Saccharomyces cerevisiae S288C: one gene and its partners. The gene in region 1 interacts genetically with each later gene. Each region holds a gene or a part of one and is shown in the gene's direction. Other genes may lie near its edges. The genes, in order: PFY1, SCW10, BER1 and TWF1.

Region 1 (2,848 bases):
GGTTGCGTAAACTAGGTGCGTCCAATCAAAGTAATCCAATTAGATATACTGGACTATAATTAAGATGTCATCTGAAAGCCCACAGGATCAACCACAGAAGGAGCAAATCAGCAATAACGTCGGCGTTACCACCAATAGTACAAGCAATGAGGAAACAAGCCGCTCTCAAGATGATAATGTCAAGGAAGTCAATGGAAATGATGATACTAAAGAAGAGGAACAAGAAGAAGACGCAGAACTAGATGATTTATTTGGAGATGACAATGATGACGATGATGATGATGATGTTAAAAAATCGGAGACTGAAAAAAGTGATAGTGATAGTGATGAAGACGACGAGGGAGAGAATATCAACCATAGAAGTCGTCATAGAGAAAGTCTCGGGTTAGATGATGATGAAGCAGAGGAGCAAGCCATGTACACCCGAAAATTTTATGGTGAGGATGCTAATAACTTTTCTGATCAAGATGAGACTACTCACACTTTTAAAGAGGAAAATGTAGAGCTTGTCAGACATATTATTCCAAGTAAAGCTAATGTGAATGAAACGGCGTCTCACAACGAAATTTTCTATGCTAGAATTCCCAACTTTTTAACTATCGATCCAATTCCTTTCGACCCTCCAAGTTTTGAGGCCAAAGTAAACGAAAGGGCAAGCAATTCAGCTTCTAGGGAGGATCAACTGGACGACCGCCTGATTGATGAAAACACTGTTAGATGGAGATACTCTCGTGACAAAGACCAACATGTCTTTAAAGAATCAAATACACAAATAGTGCAGTGGTCAGACGGTACATATTCGCTAAAAGTTGGTGAAGAGTGTACAGATATATTGGTCAACGATACGAGCAACACTTTTTTGACAGTATCGCATGACCAACAAGAGTTGATCCAGTGTTACGAAGGGGGTGAAATAAAAAAGACGTTGATGTTTATTCCAACTTCGACGAATTCAAAAATACATCAAAAACTAAGTAAAGCTGTTATAAGAAGGAACCAAAGACAAAGCAAGGGTCCTGGAACATACATTGTAAGTATGGATCCTGAAGTGGAAAAGAAGGAGTTAGAGAGAAAGCAAAGCCAGATTTTAAGAGACAGAAGGAGAAGACAGCTCAAAGAAAAGGAGAAACAAGAATCCCCAGATGCCGCTTTTGAGACGGGATTTAGAAAGCAAAATTCACCCACTACCTATGGAGCCTCGAGAAGAAATGAATATGAAGAAGATGACTTTTTAGTCGACGACGATGAGGAAGAGGAGGCTGCGTTTGACGACGAAGAGGATGATAATGAGGAAGAAGAAGAAGAAGAGGACGCGGATGAAGAGAACGCCTCTCGTCTAAGAAATTTAAAAAGAGAAGGAGCAGCAATGTACAGAGAAGAGGAAGAAGAAGAAAAAGATAGGAGCGAGACAAAAAGAAGAAGGGTTGCGGTCATCGAGGACGACGAAGACGAGGATTAGAGGAGACGTTACTTTGTTTATATATATTAGTATGTACAATCGCAAAGAAATGGAGTGATGACATGTTGTAGTATTTAGTATGAGGTTACTGTGTGGGAGGTTTTACCATGATTTTTGGCGAGAACACGCCATGAAATGTCTTTGTACGAAACTCATTACCCGCATTAATATTTTTTTTCTTTTTAAAGCTCAGTTGACCCTTTCTCATTCCCTTCTTAAAACAACTGTGTGATCCTTGAGAAAAGATAAATTACATACACAACATAAACCCAACTACGATCGCAAATTATGTCTTGGCAAGGTATGTGAACGAGACAATTATCAATTGATTAAGAAAGAAATGAGTCGGAGGTTAGCTTGTGTGACAATGTTTGGCAATGCCCGATTTTTGTTGATGCGCGTAATTTCGAAGATTAACCACTCAGAGTAAATTACTAACTGGAATATCAAAAAACATATGAAATTTCAAACATGAATTTCTTTCCGTTTTTTTCTCCTACTTTTAAACAGCATACACTGATAACTTAATAGGAACCGGTAAAGTCGACAAAGCTGTCATCTACTCGAGAGCAGGTGACGCTGTTTGGGCTACTTCTGGTGGCCTATCTTTGCAACCAAACGAAATTGGTGAAATTGTTCAAGGCTTCGACAATCCAGCTGGTTTGCAAAGCAATGGTTTGCATATTCAAGGCCAAAAGTTCATGTTGTTGAGAGCTGACGATAGAAGTATCTACGGTAGACATGATGCTGAGGGTGTTGTTTGTGTAAGAACTAAGCAAACCGTTATTATTGCTCATTATCCACCAACCGTACAAGCCGGTGAGGCCACCAAGATTGTCGAGCAATTGGCTGACTACTTGATTGGTGTTCAATACTAATTTATGCAGGTAAAGTTTTCTTGCCTTATACACCACCTATTCTGGCATCTGCGGGATTTCGCTTCCTATTTTACAAATATTTTATTGATTGACGCTAATTATCACTGTAAAAGGCGCACTTTTTATATGTAGTCACATCCGGTATTTAACATATTTACGAAACAGTCTTAAGAATATCGACATTTGATATACTTATGTTTAATTTATCTACATATTACAATCATACGAGAAACACGCAAAAACAATTACTTGAATACTTCGAAAGGAGACCAATTTGGATGTACAACCCTTTTTTCGCCCTTTTCCTTCGATATGTTATTGATAGCTTCAAAGTCCTCAGTAGACAAAGTAAATATTTTCCTGTTCGTTTTGATTCGATCGGGATTCACAGATTTTGGCAAGACAACATAACCTCTTTGGACGTGCCAGCTAATAACAACGTGTCCGGGTTGAACGTTATTTTTCTTCGCAATTTCAAGGATAACCGGTTCCTTCAATAGTGGAGCATCGG
Region 2 (3,214 bases), on another chromosome or scaffold:
AAGGCATTCTGGGGCGAATCTGACTTGATTGGCTTCACCCCAGCAAAGCAAATAAAGGGCCAGCTGTCTTATCATATTTTCGGGCGTCAATTTTTTCATTTTCAATTTCCATTTGTAGTCTGCACTTTTCAAGTTTGTCTGATCTTCCAATTGTTCTTGAGTCAGTGTGATCTTTGGATGGTTATTGATGAACTCTTGCTCCTTCTCATTCCATTGCTTAATTTGTTCCTTTATCGATACGCCTCTTTTCTTCGCCATTTTTACGTTTCTTTGGCGTGCCTTTCCATGTAGTCGCATGTTTTGAAACCCGATCTCTTCATCTAAATCGAGCTGAGCGGCAAAATACCATTTTCTATAATTTGCGTGTTCGCCTCCAATATATGAAACATGTAGCGATACTAAAGCATTTTGAGCACCTGTACGACTTGCCCTGGAGTCCAGCTGTCCCATTAAATGTTGATACATATTTTCCATAGAAGATTTCTGGAAGCCAAACTTATCCATGAGCTCCACAAAAATTTCTCTAATTTCCTGCATTGTTATTGGGACTTCATCGTCTTGGCACCAAGCAGGATACTCAACGTCAGTTAGCGAAAACTTGGGACTCATAAAATCCATATTCAACTCCTTAACTTTCCTTCTCAGTATGTTTTTCTTTTCCCAATATGCAGTTCCACAGCCCTTAATGATTAAGTTGTATAGTGGCAAATCCTAGAAGGCATAATTACTTTTGAAGGTTCTCGCCAAATAGCCGCTGACCATGTAAAACTCTTACCCGCATAATTTAACCATCATTGCCGCACTAGGCAAGATGGTCCGATCTTGATGGGCGAGAATGATTAGTTCAGAGACGTGCAACAGCCATATACGAAAGCTGTCTCGGCCTTCACTTATGCTGATACCAGGCACGGTAATAATTAAGAAAGAATGCCTCCCTCTTTCTTTTTCTCAGGCAAGACATCTAGATTTTCTTTTTATCTAAGCCCTCAATGACAAAAATATTTGTTCCTTACATATCCCCAGAGATCTTCGGTCTAGATTTCGCGAAAGACCGTTTGCAGTAATTTACCTTTTTCGGAAAAGTCCTCGAAGATTTCGGACGAAGTAAAACCTGAAGAGAAAAATGCCAAGACTTTTAATTGCGCGAAACAGCGGACAAAAAATTCGCGTTGAAACGTTTGAATATGGTAACAAACGTCGCACGCGTTTGAAAGTTATTCGTGTTTTCATGTGTACAGTAACTTCTCCATCGAGAGCCGTATCCATAAGCCTTCTTTTCCACGTTTGTTTCAAAACTGTAGTATTTATAATGGAGGGAAAGATGTCTGCGTGAAGTTTGTCTTACAGTGTATCTTTGAAGCGTGCATCATATTTTTCCCATTTTAAATTCATCTATTATATAGGCCCAAATAAAAGAGTTAAATACTATACTTTTGCAATATTGAGCTGAACATCCAACTGTCACGTCTCTCCTTTACTATTACTGTTCTTTTTTTCAAATTGTCAAAAGATAGTATTAACGCAAAAAAAGTCTTCATTCCATTATGCGTTTTTCAAATTTCCTAACTGTATCTGCATTATTAACCGGAGCTCTAGGAGCTCCTGCTGTTCGCCATAAACATGAAAAGCGTGACGTTGTTACTGCCACAGTCCATGCGCAGGTTACTGTTGTCGTTTCCGGTAACAGCGGCGAAACTATTGTTCCAGTGAACGAGAATGCTGTTGTAGCTACTACCAGCAGTACTGCAGTTGCTTCTCAAGCAACTACATCCACTTTAGAACCAACAACTTCCGCTAATGTCGTCACTTCTCAACAACAAACCAGCACTCTTCAATCTTCCGAGGCAGCATCTACGGTTGGTTCTTCGACTTCATCCTCACCCTCATCCTCATCCTCAACTTCATCTTCAGCTTCATCCTCCGCTTCATCTAGTATCTCAGCCTCCGGTGCTAAGGGTATTACTTACAGTCCTTACAATGATGATGGGTCCTGTAAATCTACTGCTCAAGTCGCCTCAGATTTAGAACAGTTGACTGGTTTTGACAACATCAGATTATATGGCGTTGACTGTAGTCAGGTTGAGAATGTCTTGCAAGCTAAAACTTCAAGCCAGAAATTATTCTTAGGCATATATTACGTTGACAAAATTCAAGACGCCGTTGATACTATTAAATCTGCAGTTGAGTCTTATGGCTCCTGGGATGATATTACCACTGTTTCTGTCGGTAACGAACTGGTCAATGGCGGTTCTGCCACTACGACGCAAGTCGGTGAATACGTTTCCACGGCCAAGTCAGCTTTAACCTCTGCTGGTTATACAGGCTCAGTCGTTTCCGTTGATACCTTCATTGCTGTTATAAATAACCCTGACCTGTGTAATTATTCTGACTATATGGCTGTCAACGCCCATGCATACTTCGATGAAAATACTGCGGCCCAAGATGCAGGACCATGGGTACTAGAACAAATCGAAAGGGTTTACACTGCTTGTGGTGGGAAAAAGGACGTCGTTATTACCGAAACTGGTTGGCCATCTAAGGGTGATACTTACGGCGAAGCTGTCCCATCTAAAGCAAACCAAGAAGCCGCCATTTCTTCTATCAAAAGCTCCTGCGGCTCTTCAGCTTACTTATTTACCGCCTTCAATGATCTATGGAAAGATGATGGGCAATACGGTGTTGAAAAATACTGGGGTATTCTATCAAGTGATTAAACCACTGAAACTTCATTTACTTTATGATCATTCTTTTTCCCTTTTTCTTAAAAAGCAGCCAAATATGGGGGAAATAAGCCCTTTCCCATATTTGCTCTCCTATTCTTATCACGTTATTGTTTACTTATGTGTTTTGTGTAAAGTATATATTCTATACTCATTTGTGAAAGATTTTTCAATTTGTCTTCCTTTTAGCTACGGGTCCTCGCTGCTCTATAGTTTGTGTTCTAACTTATATATATATATATATGCGGCATTACCTAAAAGCAAAATAAAACTGTAGAGCATTGCCTGTGTGGAAGTGATGGCGGCTGAGAGATTATCATAAAAAAACATAAAAAAAATGGAGAAAACATCAAAGCTAAACATAGTCGTAAGACGTATCAGTTTTTAATGATCATTGGTCTATCATAGGAAGAATGCGATCTCAATCTATCCGGATGATCCATGTAGATATAATCTAAGTTGGACATAATGTCATACAATATAACTTTGTCCAA
Region 3 (2,890 bases), on another chromosome or scaffold:
ATTATGGGTGGTATGTTGGAATAAAAATCAACTATCATCTACTAACTAGTATTTACGTTACTAGTATATTATCATATACGGTGTTAGAAGATGACGCAAATGATGAGAAATAGTCATCTAAATTAGTGGAAGCTGAAACGCAAGGATTGATAATGTAATAGGATCAATGAATATTAACATATAAAATGATGATAATAATATTTATAGAATTGTGTAGAATTGCAGATTCCCTTTTATGGATTCCTAAATCCTCGAGGAGAACTTCTAGTATATCTACATACCTAATATTATTGCCTTATTAAAAATGGAATCCCAACAATTACATCAAAATCCACATTCTCTTCACTTCTCCGATAGACTTGTAATTTATCTTATTTCATTTCCTAACACTTTGATCGAAGAAGAGGGATAACAACAGACGAAAACACATTTAAGGGCTATACAAAGATGAATATGGGAGGCAGTAGCAGCACTGCTGCCAAAAAAGCGACTTGTAAAATATCGATGTTATGGAATTGGTATACCATTGACACCTGCTTCATTGCCAGATCTTGGAGAAATGACACCAAAGGAAAATTTGCTGGTTCTTGCATCGGCTGTTTTGCGCTTGTGGTGGTAGCTCAATGGCTTACTCGTTTTTCAAGGCAATTTGACGTAGAGCTATTAAAAAGACAGAAAATAAAGCATTTAGCTAGTTACTCGCCAGAGGAGTACGTTGTCAAATGTGGAGAAGAGGATGCTAAATCTGATATAGAAGAACTACAAGGCTTTTACAACGAACCAAGCTGGAAAACAACTTTAATTTCCTTACAAAAAAGTTTCATTTATAGTTTTTACGTTTGGGGTCCAAGGAGATTGAACGAGCCAGAAGACGACCTGTTAAAGAAGGTCCTATCATGCTGTACATTAATAACGCCAGTGGATTTGTACCCAACTTTTTTGGATCACATGATAAGAGTTACTATTTTCGTATTACAGTGGGGGTTATCTTATATCATCATGCTGCTGTTCATGTACTATAACGGCTATATCATTATTAGTTGTTTAATAGGTGCTATCGTTGGTCGTTTCATATTTTGCTATGAACCTCTAGGCTCATTGGGTGCTAATGGATCAGCCCAGGGTACAGTGAGTTATGATAAAGAGAGTGATGATCGCAAATGCTGCTTGTAGAAAGACAAAAATGAATAGAGGAAAGCCGAGAGGTTTGTTTCAAAAATTGACGCCTTCCTCATTTTTTTCATAATTAGCTGGTAAAAGTTACTATTTGTAACGACTGCTAAATAACAAATAATTATTCGTGTAAAAATAAATAGCTAATACCACCAGGTGTTCATATTCCATGACTGCATATTTGGGAAACGAGACGGTTTGAACATCCTTAGTTGATGTAAAACTATAATAAAAGCTCTATGGGAAGTAAACTATCTGCGGGTCGGGTAAGGAATGATGCTTGCTCGACGTGTAGCGATGAAAAAAGTGAAAACTTATTTGAACTCTAGAAAACTGCTAAGATCCTGAACTGATACCGAAGTTAATGACCTTGACCGGTCTTCTGCTGTATGGATTTTAAAGCAAGTGGGACAAAGTTTAAGAAAACTGGCAAGAAGGTAGTGCCTGCTAAAGCGTTTGAAGAAATTGTTCAGACAAATAGAGATGTTCTGAAAAAATCAGCATTCCTCTCAGATTTACTTGAAAATTTACAACCGCACCTCAATAACATTAAGAAAATACGATGTGTTGCAATTGGAAATTTCAAGGAGGATTTTCCTGCGACGTACCAATTCGCTCTTCTCCTAGAGATTACTGATTATATAAAAAGTGAGGATGAAAGGGATGTCGTTGTTTCCCTGTATGATCCAATATTTACTAAAGAAGAGATACAGTACTTGAAAAGTTTAGGAAGCAAATGGCTGATAGAGGAAGAATTTTCAGAGAACGATGCAATTGATTATGAATCGGTATTATATTTCCTTCCCCATGCTCCTTTGGATTTAACTGAGAACATACTATCGTCACAGCGACCACACTTATGGCTGGCAAATAATATGATATCACACACCGATAGATACACCAAAGCAAAACTTTGTGAAAACTATCCTAATTTAAGCAAGCTAGTTCATTACTTGCAGACTAACGCTCCGCCAGAAGTTAAAAAAGCACATGATGTAGATGGTTTTGCAACATTCATTCCAAAGAGAAAAAGAAAAAACAGAAACAACTCCTCTAAACTCAAGGTCACACCATCTGATATAGACTATGATTCAATAGCACCGAAGTTTAAGTCCTGCCAAATACTCACCGATTTTGATGAAGGAAAGTATTTGAAGGAAAAACCCTGGATCAATTCCTTCTCTGACTTGACGTTACATGCTATAGAGTACTAACATATCATTCACTACATAGTACTTTATAACTAAACTGTAACCTTTCAGGGCATCGTAACCTGACGCTTTACCATCAATAACGACACGAGACCGCTTTATCTATGATACTGGAACAATCAACATGATTGTTATAAATGTACTCGACAGGATCATGAAAGGATACCAACTTAGTTGCCGGTTCATTGAAATGGAAAGCTCAAGAACGTATACTGAAAGAGAGCGACGTCTACTTTGCCCACAAAAATCTACTCTCTGAATTGAATAGTATTTAGAGATTGCATAATTCAAGCCCTCCTCGAGGAAAGGATATAAATGAAAATACCGTTTTTCCTGCTGATGGTTATCGTCCCTGTCAAGGATACTTCTCGGACTCGAACAACGTTACAGCTCAACTTAAAGAAGGCTAAATACGACAAGGGCGCTTGCCCTAAGAGGAACTGTTTCTAAGTTCTAACGAGTGCCTGCGAAGATCGGTTTTTTTTAACTTCGCGGGCGAATTGATA
Region 4 (3,261 bases), on another chromosome or scaffold:
GCACAATTCGAAGTCGCTTGGGTCCTTAATTATTTCGTTGACATTTTCGATGAATGGAGCCTGCGGTATGCCTCTGGCATTCTTTTCCGTGGAGTTGAACAGTGTGTCCATAATAACCGTAGTATCTGTTATATATGTGCGTACAGTTTTCTGCAGTAAATGTTGTCTACAATTTATAGCCTCTACAATAGTGTTAAACTAGATTTTTTCACTTTCTTTTCTGACCAGTTCTGCAAAATGATCGAAGAAACGAAACAAATCATGTGTTACCCGTCCTGCACAATCATGAGTGCCTGCGGTTTCCATATTGGAACGGCACCTTCCTTTTTTGGAAGTCACGTTCCTGCAGCGCGTTTCTTTTTTTTTTTTTTTTTTTTTTTTATTTTTCGGTTTTTTTCGCACGTTTCTTTTTGGTGAGCGAGAAAGCTCGTTGCCTCCTAATATAAAGGATGAGATGAGATGAGCAGTGCCGCAAATGAGGGATGTGTTTATTTGTTCATTGTCGTTTTGCGATTATCTTCGTTTTCATGTGTTAACTCATTCATTCATTCATTTACTCGTTCACGCACACGCAGCAGTTATTCCCTCGACGAGCGTTCACTTGTATCATATAGCATAGTTTACGTAGCAATGAATAAAAGCAGCAAGGCATTTCAGGTACCGAATAAGGTCATCACCAAGGAGGATATTACTCCCTTGTCCAGATCGCACACAAAGAAAGCGGACACTCGCGGGACAGCAGATGGTAAAAACACCACAGCCAGTGCAGTCGAGGCCACCCCAATCATCATCACCACTGCTCGTTCGATAGATACTGCCGGTTCACTATCTGAGAACGCCACCGAGGACGATGGCACCCAAAACGGAGATTTACACGATGATGACGATGATGACGACCTCGAAAGTACGCTCGGCTATAGTTCTGAGCCTGATCCTCTCTTCTCCCCATGCCACCAGCCTTCCTTCACCAACAGCACATTTAGTTACAGTGCGGACAATGAACTACCCATGGAGGAAAATCACAACAAGAATAATTTCCACGATAGCAGCGAGAGCAGTATCTTTCTACCACAGATACAGCAATCATTCTTTTTCGGCGACAATAGCAAGAGTGACGCAAATAATACGGACTTCTGGAAGGAAGTAAATGGCACTGCAGAAGAGGCCATTTGCCTGCAGGAGACAAGACAAAGAAAATGCTCCCTCGTGGCTCTGCATCCAGGCGACGCCACCACGAGTTCGAACGACACATTGGGAATAGAGGACTTCATCAAAGATGATATCAACAGTGCTGAAGCCATGGAACCCTCCCCATCTTCATCACCATCTTCCTCCCTTCTTGATAATTTGGACTACAATATCAAGTTATTGTGCTACAGAGACAATGAGGGCAAGTTCACCTTGAAAAAAAGGAAGTTTTTGAAGAATTCCCTGCGCTCATCCTCTGCAATTTCTAAAAAGTGGAAACCCTTGTCTAAAAGAGATAAGCTGTTGAAGAGGGCCATAAGAAGAAAGAGTGGTGTTTGCCAGACGTTATCAGCTGGTTTTGGTATCGGTGAATTCATGTTGTAATAACAGTACTATTAACAGTACAATAAATAGATTCTTTTTATACAGTGTTAGGGTAACTTGTTTTTGTAGGATTTGAAAAATATGTCATTATAAGATCTATATCTTTTACTATTTGGACAAGTTGGCTAATTTGATAGGCAATTGAATAAGAAGGAACTCTGTATCTCAACACATCACATGTCTACTCAATCCGGTATAGTCGCAGAACAAGCCTTGCTGCATTCTCTGAATGAAAATCTTTCAGCAGATGGCATCGTCATCATTATAGCCAAAATTTCCCCTGATTCTACCTCGGTACATCAAACGCAAGTCGCACGTAGCTTCGAGGAGCTGGTACAGTTGGCATCACAAGAAAGAGAACCGTTGTACATCTTCTATAAGCCGGAAGGGCTTGATAAGTACTTCTTTGTGTCATTCATCCCCGATGGTTCTCCGGTAAGATCAAGAATGCTTTATGCCTCGACGAAGAACACTCTGGCAAGACAGGTAGGTTCAAACTCTTTATCCACCGAACAGCCATTGATCACAGATGCACAGGACTTGGTGGATTTGAAAAATTTTGATAGTGCCCGTCCTGCTGGCCAGAATAAGCCCTTGACACATGATGAAGAAATGCAAATCGAAATCAATAAGCAACAGGCACTTTTAAGGAAAAACACATCCGTCAAGTTGGTTTCTCAGGACAGTGCTTCGCCTTTATCGTTAACTTTCAGGGTCAATTCTGAGAAACCTATCAATGAAATACTGGATAGCGAGGGTAAAAATTTAATCATATTTCAAATCGATCCCTCGAACGAAACCATCCAGATCGTGCAATCTGATACATGTCCCTCCGTAGATGAACTGTACATTGACTTGCCCGGGCCAAGTTACACGATTTTCAGGCAGGGTGATTCAAGTTTCTTTATCTACTCTTGTCCCTCTGGCAGCAAAGTCAAAGATAGAATGATATATGCTTCTAACAAGAATGGATTTATCAACTACTTGAAAAATGATCAAAAAATCGCATTTAGTAAAGTGGTAGAAATTGGCGATTTTGTGGAACTAGACAAGTCCTTACTTATGGCAACAAATAAAGAAGATAGCCTCGATCATGGATCCAATCCAGATCTCCCAAACAAAAGCAATTTGAAATTCAACAAACCAAAGGGCCCATTGAGGAAAAGAAGAACATAGAGATAGAAATGGCATCTATATATGTGTGACCAACAATACATACGTTTTTATTCTTCTAAATATGAAACTGAATGTTTTTCTAGGTTTGCTGGAATATATATTACACTGGCAAAAATTGTTATGCTATGCTATTTAATGTTCATTGTTTTTGCAGCTTGATAACCTCTCTTAAGGCGCCAAATGGATTTTTTTGGAAATCTTGATTGGTTAGGACCTGATTGAATCTTGCAGTTTCGTTAGCAGCCAATGCCTTTGCACCCTTTTGGTTCCTGATATTTGGCTGATTCTTTTTTATCCTAACAGAACCAGGTTCTATCTTTTTCAAGTTCATTTCCTTTGTGTCCACAAACCTTATTTTAGAATCCATGTCGATGTCATCATCGTTATTCATGTCTTTGCTACTATTTTCAATAATGCCCCGTAAATCCTTTTCTTGCTCCAAAGAAGTGAGCAGATCTTGCATTCTTGGTTTTAGTTCTTCTCTTAGCTTTCTTTTCCTACGTCTAATGGAAG

Evidence for each region.
Region 2: mutations in PFY1 (region 1) and SCW10 together harm fitness more than expected from each alone (negative genetic interaction), as found in Saccharomyces cerevisiae (2 studies listed by BioGRID).
Region 3: mutations in PFY1 (region 1) and BER1 impair growth when combined (synthetic growth defect), as found in Saccharomyces cerevisiae (2 studies listed by BioGRID, with this or other methods).
Region 4: mutations in PFY1 (region 1) and TWF1 impair growth when combined (synthetic growth defect), as found in Saccharomyces cerevisiae (2 studies listed by BioGRID, with this or other methods).

Annotation. Positions count from the first base shown.
Region 1 is NC_001147.6:551,787-554,634, reverse strand, and holds PFY1 (profilin), read left to right. Parts: upstream 1-1,747; coding exon 1,748-1,760; intron 1,761-1,969; coding exon 1,970-2,337; downstream 2,338-2,848. Other genes in the region: Paf1-complex subunit LEO1, read left to right, coding at 65-1,459; glycerol 2-dehydrogenase (NADP(+)) GCY1, read right to left, coding at 2,583-2,848. UniProt on the Saccharomyces cerevisiae protein: Binds to actin and affects the structure of the cytoskeleton. At high concentrations, profilin prevents the polymerization of actin, whereas it enhances it at low concentrations. By binding to PIP2, it inhibits the formation of IP3 and DG.
Region 2 is NC_001145.3:878,563-881,776, reverse strand, and holds SCW10 (putative family 17 glucosidase), read left to right. Parts: upstream 1-1,544; coding exon 1,545-2,714; downstream 2,715-3,214. Other genes in the region: FKS3 (putative 1,3-beta-D-glucan synthase), read right to left, coding at 1-618; ubiquitin-specific protease UBP15, read right to left, coding at 3,098-3,214. UniProt on the Saccharomyces cerevisiae protein: Glucanases possibly play a role in cell expansion during growth, in cell-cell fusion during mating, and in spore release during sporulation.
Region 3 is NC_001144.5:946,806-949,695, forward strand, and holds BER1 (Ber1p), read left to right. Parts: upstream 1-1,562; coding exon 1,563-2,387; downstream 2,388-2,890. Other genes in the region: high-affinity Cu transporter CTR3, read left to right, coding at 448-1,173.
Region 4 is NC_001139.9:640,261-643,521, forward strand, and holds TWF1 (twinfilin TWF1), read left to right. Parts: upstream 1-1,749; coding exon 1,750-2,748; downstream 2,749-3,261. Other genes in the region: tubulin-binding prefolding complex subunit PAC10, read right to left, coding at 1-111; YGR079W (uncharacterized protein), read left to right, coding at 460-1,572; SLX9 (Slx9p), read right to left, coding at 2,888-3,261. UniProt on the Saccharomyces cerevisiae protein: Actin-binding protein involved in motile and morphological processes. Inhibits actin polymerization, likely by sequestering G-actin.